3 linked regions of the Oryctolagus cuniculus genome follow. The protein of the gene in region 1 interacts with the protein of each later gene in a pairwise test. Links are inferred from orthologs where the notes say so. Each region holds a gene or a part of one and is shown on either strand. Other genes may lie near its edges. The genes, in order: ZYX, IMP3 and NEBL.

The links.
Region 2: the proteins of ZYX (region 1) and IMP3 interact in binary tests that used the Homo sapiens proteins (3 or more experiments, as listed by UniProt). The link is inferred for Oryctolagus cuniculus from reciprocal best matches to the Homo sapiens genes ZYX and IMP3.
Region 3: the proteins of ZYX (region 1) and NEBL interact in a two-hybrid assay, tested with the Homo sapiens proteins (2 studies listed by BioGRID and IntAct). The link is inferred for Oryctolagus cuniculus from reciprocal best matches to the Homo sapiens genes ZYX and NEBL.

Annotation. Positions count from the first base shown.
Region 1 is NC_091434.1:180,378,464-180,382,211, reverse strand, and holds the start of ZYX (zyxin), read left to right. Parts: upstream 1-1,217; 5' UTR 1,218-1,247; coding exon 1,248-1,409; intron 1,410-1,539; coding exon 1,540-1,762; intron 1,763-2,247; coding exon 2,248-2,447; intron 2,448-2,604; coding exon 2,605-2,697; intron 2,698-2,810; coding exon 2,811-3,353; intron 3,354-3,748. UniProt on the Homo sapiens protein: Adhesion plaque protein. Binds alpha-actinin and the CRP protein. Important for targeting TES and ENA/VASP family members to focal adhesions and for the formation of actin-rich structures.
Region 2 is NC_091443.1:108,367,961-108,370,619, reverse strand, and holds IMP3 (U3 small nucleolar ribonucleoprotein protein IMP3), read right to left. Parts: upstream 1,599-2,659; 5' UTR 1,526-1,598; coding exon 971-1,525; 3' UTR 554-970; downstream 1-553. UniProt on the Homo sapiens protein: Component of the 60-80S U3 small nucleolar ribonucleoprotein (U3 snoRNP). Required for the early cleavages during pre-18S ribosomal RNA processing. Part of the small subunit (SSU) processome, first precursor of the small eukaryotic ribosomal subunit.
Region 3 is NC_091444.1:47,107,942-47,111,589, forward strand, and holds part of NEBL (nebulette), read right to left. Parts: intron 3,213-3,648; coding exon 3,106-3,212; intron 1,355-3,105; coding exon 1,178-1,354; 3' UTR 1-1,177. UniProt on the Homo sapiens protein: Binds to actin and plays an important role in the assembly of the Z-disk. May functionally link sarcomeric actin to the desmin intermediate filaments in the heart muscle sarcomeres.

The sequences.
Region 1 (3,748 bases):
GCTCCACCTGACGGCAGGTGCTGGAGGAAGCCGGCTGCTTCGTGGGTGTGACCGGGCCCACCCCCTCAGCGGGCAGCCTCCACTTCCCCAGCGTGAAGTAAGGGGCGAGTCTGGATGCTCTCAAAAGCATCTCCCAGATGCTCCTTGGCAGTGGGGTTCAGTCGGTTTGGAGGGCCAGGGCGGAGACACTGAGTCAACAAGAGGTCTGTTTCAGATGTCACTCAGGGCTGATGGAATGAGAGAGTGGAGAGTGGGTGGATACTGGACTAGAGGGCAAAGGCCTAGACTCCATAGCTTTGCAAGCGTGGAGTTCAGCCACTGGGTAAGTTTCCGTGCGCAATTAAAAAATAAAAAGTGGCACTCAGGTTTGGTCTCCTTGGCGTAGCCTGGGGCTGAGCAACCCGGTCGGATGAGTGGGGGCTCTACCGAGCTGTGTCGCTCGGGAGGCTCCCGAAGGCGTGGGTCGCGGCGGAGGCTCAGCTGTGGCAGGCTTGTTGCTCGCGTCCACGTCTCCCCGGGTCCTACTAGATCCTCCGGCTGCCCTGGCCAGGGCTGAGCAGCCCCCTACCTACCTCCCTCGGGCCCGCTGGTCCAGAATATCTCTGGCGCAACTGATCCGCAGCCGGGGGCGCCAGTGTTGCGAATTCCTAGAAGCCTGCAGAGGCTGCCTAGGGTTGGAAGTTACGATACCCCTAGGTCGCAAGAGGTTCAGGCTCACACAGCCACCGATCGCCGAAGGGCCTGCCAGGAGGGCGCGGGACGAGAACGGCCCTGGTCCTGGTCCTGCAGCCAGCGCTGGCCGGTGGGTTCTCGGGGCGCGGTGCTGCCGACGGCGTGGGAGGTGCAGCCGTGAGGGTGGCAGGGCCGCAGGTAACTGCAGGCCCCAGAGGAGGCGGCTGGGCCAGGGCGGAGGCGCAAGGGGGCTGCTCGCTCCGTTGCCTCGGGGGACCCTTTCGACCTCCGCCGGCTCAGCCCGGAGTGGGGCCAGTGAGTCAGATCTCCGGCACCCGCTGACGGGCGCGGAGTTGGGGGTGGGGGGGCAGGTCAGGAAATGACATCAGAGGCCTGTGCTCAGGGAGGGGTGGTCTGCGACCGGCCAGGGCTGCGAGCACGGCTGGGAGTGCGGCGGGGGCGGGCGGACCTTAGCGGAGCCCTCGGCCCAGGGCAGGATCTGGGCCCCTTCCTGGGGGAGTTTCCTGCCGCGCCCGCCCTGTCTCTCCCCGCCCCCTCTCCGGGCCGCTCCTTGTATGGTCGCGGCGCCGCTCTCTCCCCGCCCCCTGCCGCCCTCCCTCCTCTTCCCTGCGTCCCTCCCCCGCCTGGCTGGAGGCTGCTCGGGACCGGGACGCACAGTCCGCAGACCCGGCGCCGAGGCGGCCACTGGAGACGCGGCGCGCACGCTCCGGTCCGCGGTGAGGCGCGGGGCGCGGGGCTCCGGGAGGCGGCGGGTGGGGGTCGTCGGGAGGCGCTCGGGCCTCCGGGGGAGTCTCCTGCCCAGCCCAGCGCAGTTCGGCGCCGCGTAACCTGGAGACCCACCCCCAGCAGCCCGGCCAGGCCATGGCGGCCCCCCGCCCGCCTCCCGCGATCTCCGTCTCGGTCTCGGCTCCGGCGTTTTACGCCCCGCAGAAGAAGTTCGGCCCGGTGGTGGCACCGAAGCCCAAAGTAAATCCTTTCCGGCCCGGGGACGGCGAGCCTCCAGCGGCAGCCGGGGCCCAGCGCGCACAGATGGGCCGGGTGGGCGAGATCCCCCCGCCGCCCCCGGAAGGTATGCGGCAGGGCTGAGGGGCTGGACCCCCGCGGGCGGCGGGGTGGGGGCAGTGGGATTGAGCAAGGGGCGGGGGGACGCCTGCAAAGGTAGCTGCGGAGGGGGCTGGGTGCAGCCACCCTGTCCCGAGCAGATGTTCTTACCTCATCGTGGAGCTCATGGCTGGGAGCCAGGGCTCCTGGGATCGTTCCAAGTCCCCGCCTGGGGGTGGGAGGCGGGAATGTGGGCCACGAATCTTCCCCTGTGGGTCCGTTTTCCCAAGTGTAACGGGAGCCGCACCACTCCTCGGCCGTGCCCCCCCACCTCCGGCCTTTCCTGACCTGTGCCCCCCTGGGCGCCCTGCACCCCTCCTTTCCCTTCCCGCACACTCCAGGACCCCCGAGGCAGTTCTTGGGTTAGGGTTAGAGTCAGAGCTGTGGACGGAGGGCAGCTTGGGGCAGCGGTGGCGGGGCCGCTGCCGATGGCCGCTTCTCTCCCCGCCCTAGACTTTCCCTTACCCCCGCCTCCCCCACCTGGGGATGGCGACGACGCGGAGGGTGCGCTGGGAGGTGCCTTCCCCCCGCCGCCTCCCCCGATCGAGGAACCGTTCCCCCCTGCACCTTCCGAGGAGGACATCTTTCCTTCTCCACCGCCCCCGCTGGAGGATGAGGGCACGCCCGAGGCCCCCATGCCGCCCCCGCCGCAGGTATGGAGGCCTGGGGAGGGGTCAGTGCACTGGGACGCCTCAAGGAAAGGAGAGAAGGGGGCCTGCTGTGACCTGCCCCTGTACCTCTGCCCTGTTGCGGGAGGGGTGGCGTGGGAATGGGAGACGGGGATGGATGCTCTGACCCCTGATCCTGTAGCCCAGGGAGAAGGTGAGCAGCATCGACCTGGAGATCGACTCTCTGTCCTCACTGCTGGATGACATGACCAAGAATGATCCCTTCAAAGCCCGGGTAAGGGCCTGGGGAGTAGGCACCCTGAGTGCCAGGGAGGAGAGACTGGAGAAGGAAGCGTGGAGGGCAGCCCCTGCCTCTAACTTGCTTCTCTCCCTCTGCCTCTCTTGCAGGTGTCATCTGGATATGTGCCCCCTCCAGTTGCCACTCCATTCATTCCCAAGTCCAGTACTAAGCCTGCGACCGGGGGCACAGCACCCTTGCCCCCCTGGAAGGCACCTCCCAGCTCCCAGCCCGTGTCCCAGCCTCAGAGCCAAGCGCTGTTCCATGTCCAGCCCCAGGCTCAGCCCCAGGCCCAGCCCCAGACCAAGCCTCAGGTCCAGCTGCATGTGCAGCCTCAGCCCCAGGCTCATTCCCAGCCTGTGTCTTCCGCTAACGCGCAGTCCCGAGGTCCTCCAGCTCCACCTCCAGCACCAGCCCCTAAGTTTTCTCCAGTGGCTCCCAAGTTTACTCCCGTGGCTTCCAAGTTCAGCCCTGGAGCCCCCGGTGGCCCTGGGTCACAGCCCAGTCAAAAGCTGGGACCTCCGGAAGCTGCTTCTTCCACTGGCACGGGTTCCCCTCAACCCCCCAGCTTCACCTATGCTCAGCAGAAAGAGAAGCCCCGCGTGCAGGAGAAGCAGCACCCAGTGCCCCCACCTGCTCAGAAGCAAAACCAGGTGAGGGGGCGAGATAGGTCAGGGCCGAGACCAGGGTGCTGGGGGAGGGAATCACAGTGGAGGTGGCTTGGGAGAGATGGGGTGGGCATCAGTGTGGTGGGTCCATCGGTCAGACAATGGGAAGGGAGAGAGTTTCTGCAGGGGCTGGCTGGGGCGTGGCTCCAGATTTGGAATTAGAGGATTTGGTGCACATTCTCTTGCGCTTCTGCCCTGGGAGGTTAAAGGGGAGGATGACATCACCGGTCCAATGTTGGTTTTTCCCCATTCCTGGGCCTTAAGTTAATCTCGCAGCTCCTCTGGTCCTTTCACTGCCCGAGGGCCCATCTGGAGATAAGAGCCACAGCCCCAGTAAACAAAGACTGAGCCAACATCAGCTGGATGCCAGGCACTGTGTT
Region 2 (2,659 bases), on another chromosome or scaffold:
GGACCCCAGGCCCCTGCTTCCTGGGAACTCTGCCTCGGTTCCCGCAGGTGGAAAGCAGAGACTAACAGACTCCTCACTTCACAGGGCTGCTGGGAGGGCCACACGGGTTAACAACATTCGGCACGCATTCACGCCGAGCCTGGCACAGGAGGCGCTTGCTACTGTCACCACCCCACACCACCATCCCATCATTCCGGGGACCACACACCCGGATGTTGTCCACATTCTCCTTCCCTTCCAAGCCTCCACCGCCCCCTAAGAGCATTCAAGTGCCCGGAAGCCTCCTGGGCCACGTCTAACCGCCAGGTGGCCAGGCTGCAGCGTGAGGAGTGCCCTCAGCCCTCTCCGCTGGTCCGCGGCTGGAACACCAACAGGGAATCCTGCGGGCAAGAGCTCTGCCGAAGCCCTCAGCCCGAGGAAGGGGCCCGGTCAAGTGACAAACCCGTCCGGCCGTAACAGCAGCACCCGCAGCCTCTCGGCGCCGGGTTCCTGAGCTGGGAGACCTACAGAACTGACCCCGTGTTGAGAAAACCAGAGAGAGAGAGAGGGGCACTTCCAAAGTAGCTGGGCGTCAGGGAGACACTCCTTTAAATGACGGAGGGGACCCTGAACACTCGCTTTATTTAAACTTGCGCCTTAACTCTGCCACGGTGAGCAGCTAACTCACGATCAGGGGGCAAGAAACCGAGCCAAACAGCCACGAGACGATACAGACGAGGTGGGCGTGGGCGCGCCGGAGTTCTGGCTACTACCCTGCAAGGTGTAGGGCGCGGGAAATTTAGAGTCCCCCACCCCACCCCGAGCACAGCACGGCTTCCCGCTGTCACCATCAGGCGTCCGAGTTCTAGGAAGACAGTAAGTACTCCCCTGGTTCTGCGTGGCCTGCGACTAGGGGTCCAGTTCCTAGAGCGCCCACGGCCGCCGGCACGCTCTGGGGGAATCCGGCCGCAGGCCTCTCGGTCTCCCCGGGCTAGGCTTCCAGGTCGAAGTCATCGCGCTCCTCGTTGTACTCCAGCACGTGCCGCTTGATCTTGGACGAATCGACCCAGGTGACGAAGTCCTCCATGCTGCGCGTGACCAGGAAGGCGGGGTCGGTGACCACGTCGGGGCCCACGCGCACGTGGCCCTGCTCCACGAAGGCCACGGCCGCCTGGAGGTGCTGCGCCATGCGCAGCTTGAGCAGCACGGTGGGCAGGCGGCGGCGGCAGAACGACGAGGCCGTGACCGAGTCGCAGAGCTCCAGCGAGCCGCGCGTGGGCACCAGGCCGAGCGCGTACAGCTTGTCCAGCAGCGCGGCCGAGGCGCGCACGCGGAACGGGTCGCGCTCGGGCAGGTCGCGCAGGCGGCGCGCCAGCTCGCGCACGGCACGGCTCAGCTGGTTGTAGCGCGTGTAGTCCTCGCGCCGCTGCAGCCGGTACCGCCGCAGCACGCGCAGCTCGTGCAGGTTGTGGTCAGTGACCTCCCAGTTCAGGAAGTCCACCTGCTTCAGCAGCTTCTGCTCGTGAAACTTCAGCTTCCGGACCATGATGGCGGCCGCCGCAGCGCGAGACCCGAAGCCGGCGGCGCGTTCCGCCTGGCGCGCGACTTCCGCCCGCTGTGCTCGGGCCAATGAAGGAAGGGCTCGAGGCCACGCCCCTAGTTTCCCATTGGCCAGGGTGGGGCCACGCCTCCTGTCCGGATCTCGCGTTACTTCCCTTCTCCTGGTCCCGAGCCCAGCGGGTGGCGGCGAGGGGCGTGTCTCGAGGAAGCTCCTTGCCGCGCGTGGAGGCCGGGAATGCCTTCCCCAGGGCGGTAGCAGTTTTCTCCCAGATTTCTGCTTTTTGGCGTCTCTCGGGAGAGTCTCCTCTCGCGAGCCGAAGGGGAAGCGGGGCGACTTGGGCCCTCTCTGCGGGGGTTTCCTGCGCCGGCCTTCAGCTTCCCGGCCTGTCCAGGGATTGTCCCCCACCTCCAGGGGACCGAGCGGTCGCCCCGTGCCCAGGGGCGGGGAGGTGGCACCGAGTCTATGAAGTACTGGTTCCCAGGACGCGCGGAACGCGGAGCTTGCGGGGGGGGGGGCGGGGCTGGAGACGGACGCTGCTAACACGGACTGTCCACTCATCAGACCTGCGCCGTGGACGTTTTGGCCTGGGCTCGGACGCATTGGCCCGCCGGGCTGGCCGTGGCCCTCCGGGGTGGCGTTAACGGGAGGGGAAGGCTGCTGGGGCCGCAGGCCTGGGACGCCACCTAGCTATCTCTTCGTTGTAATACTCGGTAGTATTTGGTATCTGGTTTTAAAAGAATGCAGGTAACTCGTAAGTTATGAGGCTCGCCCAAAACCAGTCCCAGCCGTGTCCTTTCCCAAGGATGAAAGTCCCTCCCCTCCCGGAATGTGCATTATTCCGTTCAAAAAGAAGCAGTTTGGTCACCACGCGGGCGTGGCTGGATAGACCAGCGCGAAGCCTGGGAGCAGCAGAGGGCTGCTGGCAGCCCCCTGCGGCCCCCTGCGGCCCCCTCCCTTGCCTTTGGAACCAGAGCCTGCAGCTCAGCGTCGGGGAGGGGGGGTGATTGGTCCAAGTGCGCTGACATCTGAGAAGTGTTGGCGTGGAAGACTTGGCTCTGTGTGCTGTCTGTTATATGTAGCCGTAATTACTTTCCCCCTGCTGTGTAATATTCCATTAAT
Region 3 (3,648 bases), on another chromosome or scaffold:
GCTAGATTTCCATGCCAGAATCTGACTGGCAGTTTCCAAACCCGGAGGCTACATCATCTCAAGGTGGAGTTGCTAACTTTTTGTTTGCTGGGTTTGACTCCCATGCATTCCACAATCCATTTTTCCACTGGTTTCTATAACATTTTCATTTTTAAATCAACAGCAGTGTTAAGTTAATGAAAGCTGTTCAATAAACACCTAGATCACTTATTTACTAGAGTATACGTGTTATTTCCTAAGATGTAAATCCTTCAAAACTAGAGTGCAATGCAGGAAAATCTCAAGCAACTTCTCAAAATATGTTATTCGATGAGCCAGCAGCTAGAGGAAGGGCTGTAGGAGCAGCCAAGGTTTTTTCTTTAATTACAGGGGTGGGCAGGACAGCTGCCTATGTTACAAAAGCTGGAACCTACAGGACATGCAACAGGCTCAGGGCTACTAGGGAAACACGAGAGATGACATCACAGTGTCCCCTCTGCAGAGTAGCTGTGAAGGTGCTTGGTCCTGACATTCTGTGGAGCTGAGGCTACACAGGGTCCAGAGAACGCAGATGGAGAGGGGGGAACGCCTTGGTACAAATGAGAAACAAACAGATCTCGGTCAGCCCAGGGCACGCGGATGTTTCTAGGTCCCTAAGGCCACCAGTCCATATAATTTTAACCAAACTGTCATTTTGCCATTGCTTACATTTACTGCATTAGGCAATTTTTGCCTGAGCTGGAAATCGCCCAATGACTCCAAAACTCACCAGTGTTTAAATTATCGGCTGCATTACTGAATTAAGAGAATTGGCTTCTTGGTGATGATTCCAAAGTGACAGCTAAGAAGTCTCATATTACTCATGACATTGAAGGGACAATCAACACTTCTATTAAATAAGTCTACAAAAATACATTTCCCCAGAAGGGTTCAATAGCCAATCAAAAGAAACCACGAACACAATTCGCAGCACCAGGTCTGCAGACATTAACGATTTTGTGTACAGGAATTCCTGAAAACACTGCTGTCTCCAGCCCAGAAGTCCCTCCTTCTTCCTGGTACCTGTGTGTCTACTTGTCAAAGTAAGGATACATTATTGTAAAATAACTGCCAAATTTTCTTAAAAGTATCGTCTATCTTTTAAAAAGATCAGATTTAGAATACATTAGAATAAAGCTCAAAGGGCAAGGAGAAAGACTTAATTAACAAATTCAATGTAATTGGCCGGCAGCATCCCTGTTCTGCCCGTTCTCTGCACGGTGCCGTACATCCAGCCGTCGTCGATGGGCTGCACGTTGACGATGTAGTCGCCATCTCGGAAGGAGACCTCGTCTTCGTCCTGGGCGCTGTAGTCGTACATGGCCCGGTAGGTCCTCTGAGAAGGCAACAAGAGATCACACGATGAACACCAAGACGGTCATGACCACAGATACCAGGCACGACCAGCCTAACCCACGCAAAAGGGAACTGCTAGGAGCATTTGCAAGTGCATCTCTTTCTGGAAATCCGTCTAGTCGGATTGATTGCAAATTAAGCAGCCTAGCAACAAATGCGCAGTATGGGGTGGGGGGCATTACAGTTTGAAAAGCCACAAATAGCTTAGCAAACCCGTGGAAAAGTAGGCTTGGGAACAGTAAAGGCAACAGCTTCACATAATCCCAGTGTCCTTAGATGATGTAGGGTCTCCCCTGAGCCACATTTTTCAGAGAACAAAACCCACCATGGAGGCAGTTCCCGGTACCCAGCAGAGGCCGTGGACTTCTTGAACAGTACTAAGAATTTTTGTTTCGCCTCAAAAATACATTTTAAGAAAAGAAAAATTCATCATCTACTGACTTTATAGGTTTTTTTGTATCATAGTGACAGAAATTCAGCATATAAATGTTATGAATATTGAGGTATATTTAATATAAATGTCATAAGGGGAAATCTTTAAATTGAGTTTTCCTGTATTTGCTTTTGCTTCAGGGTATGAATTCAACTAATTATCACACAACCTCAAAATCTAGTGCATTATGGAATTGAAGACACTGGCCAGGACACAAAGAAAGGCAGAGACATTAAAGTCCTCTTGTAGCTTAGGGAGCCACCTGCTTCTAAGTGTGCAGGAAGCAGCCAGCGGCTAGGTCCCAGGCTTGGAGAAGCAGTTCGAGCACAAGATGTTGAGTGCGATCGGATGGTTTCAAACGCCACACTCAGCAGATGCATCAGTACTTCAAGATTTCCAGAGCCGGGATCTGAAGGCACATTTTTCCCCACTCTGGGTCATTCACACTTTTGTGGCCATTTTAATAAATGTCAAGATTTAAGCCAGCGCTGTGGCTCACTAGGCTAATCCTCCGCCTTGCGGCGCCGGCACACCGGGTTCTAGTCCCGGTCGGGGCGCCGGATTCTGTCCCGGTTGCCCCTCTTCCAGGCCAGCTCTCTGCTGTGGCCAGGGAGTGCAGTGGAGGATGGCCCAAGTGCTTGGGCCCTGCACCCCATGGGAGACCAGGAGGAAGCGCCTGGCTCCTGGCTTCGGATCAGCGCAGTGCGCCGGCCGCAGCGCGCTGGCCGCGGCGGCCATTGGAGGGTGAACCAATGGCAAAAGGAAGATCTTTCTCTCTGTCTCTCTCTCTCACTGTCCACTCTGCCTGTCAAAAAAAAAAAAAAGGTTTAATTTGTTAATGTGGCCATCAAATATGAAGGTACTTCAAAGAGTACATAGAAAAAGTGAATTAAAGATGAGTTTATGTTGGTGCAAAAAAAAAGTTTTGAAATCCACACATAGCTGTTTTGTGATAAATATCTTCCATGAGCTGTATGAAGATGCTTCCCATCTGTGCTTTCTCGGCCTGAGTGAAAACCGCAACTGACGCCATCGGGATATTGTTACTCGCAGACCCCTTTTAAGTTTTCTTTTTTTTTTTTTTTTTAATATGCTTAGTAATGCCTTCCTTTTTCAACGCTTTAACTCTGGACATTTCTTGCTCCCTTTGAAAGAACTGTAGAAACGGCAGCACATCACCACCTATCTTTACATGAAAAAGCTCAACATTCAACTCGCCTCTATTCCACGTGTATTTACCGGTGTTTTTGAGGTAGAATGAAACCAGAGTGGAAGACGTATGTCTGACTGACACTTACTAGATTTGGAGAATGCTGTATGGACCTCATGGATGACACGCTGGCCTGGTGCATGAACCCGTAGCCCTGGGAATGGCTTTGCTGGTAGGCTCCAGGAAGAACCGGTGCTGCCCAGGAAACACACACACATAGACACCTTAAACTTAGCTTCCAAGCACCACTCCCCGGCCCACACAGTGACCCCATGCTGCGCTGGCAGCTTCTGGAACAAGATGTCCTTGTCAGTGCCAAGTGAACTTGAGTAACAGGGTTACAAGCAATCTCTAGATTAGTATCAATCTTGGTAAGTGAGGACACACAAAATATCATGTTGCATGCAGTTGTAAGACATTTGAGATATTTTTATTACTCTATTACAGATGCTATGTTAAAACAACATAAATACAAAGTAAAGTTTCCTATAATCCCTCAGCAAAATTCTGTTTTTATTTGGCCATGTAATCCTTTTAGGCATTTTCCAAACTAAAAGTCAGTGTTTTGCAGTATTGCCAAACCAATGGCAGAGTATACATGTGTCACAGGTACTTCACATGTAAGGGATAT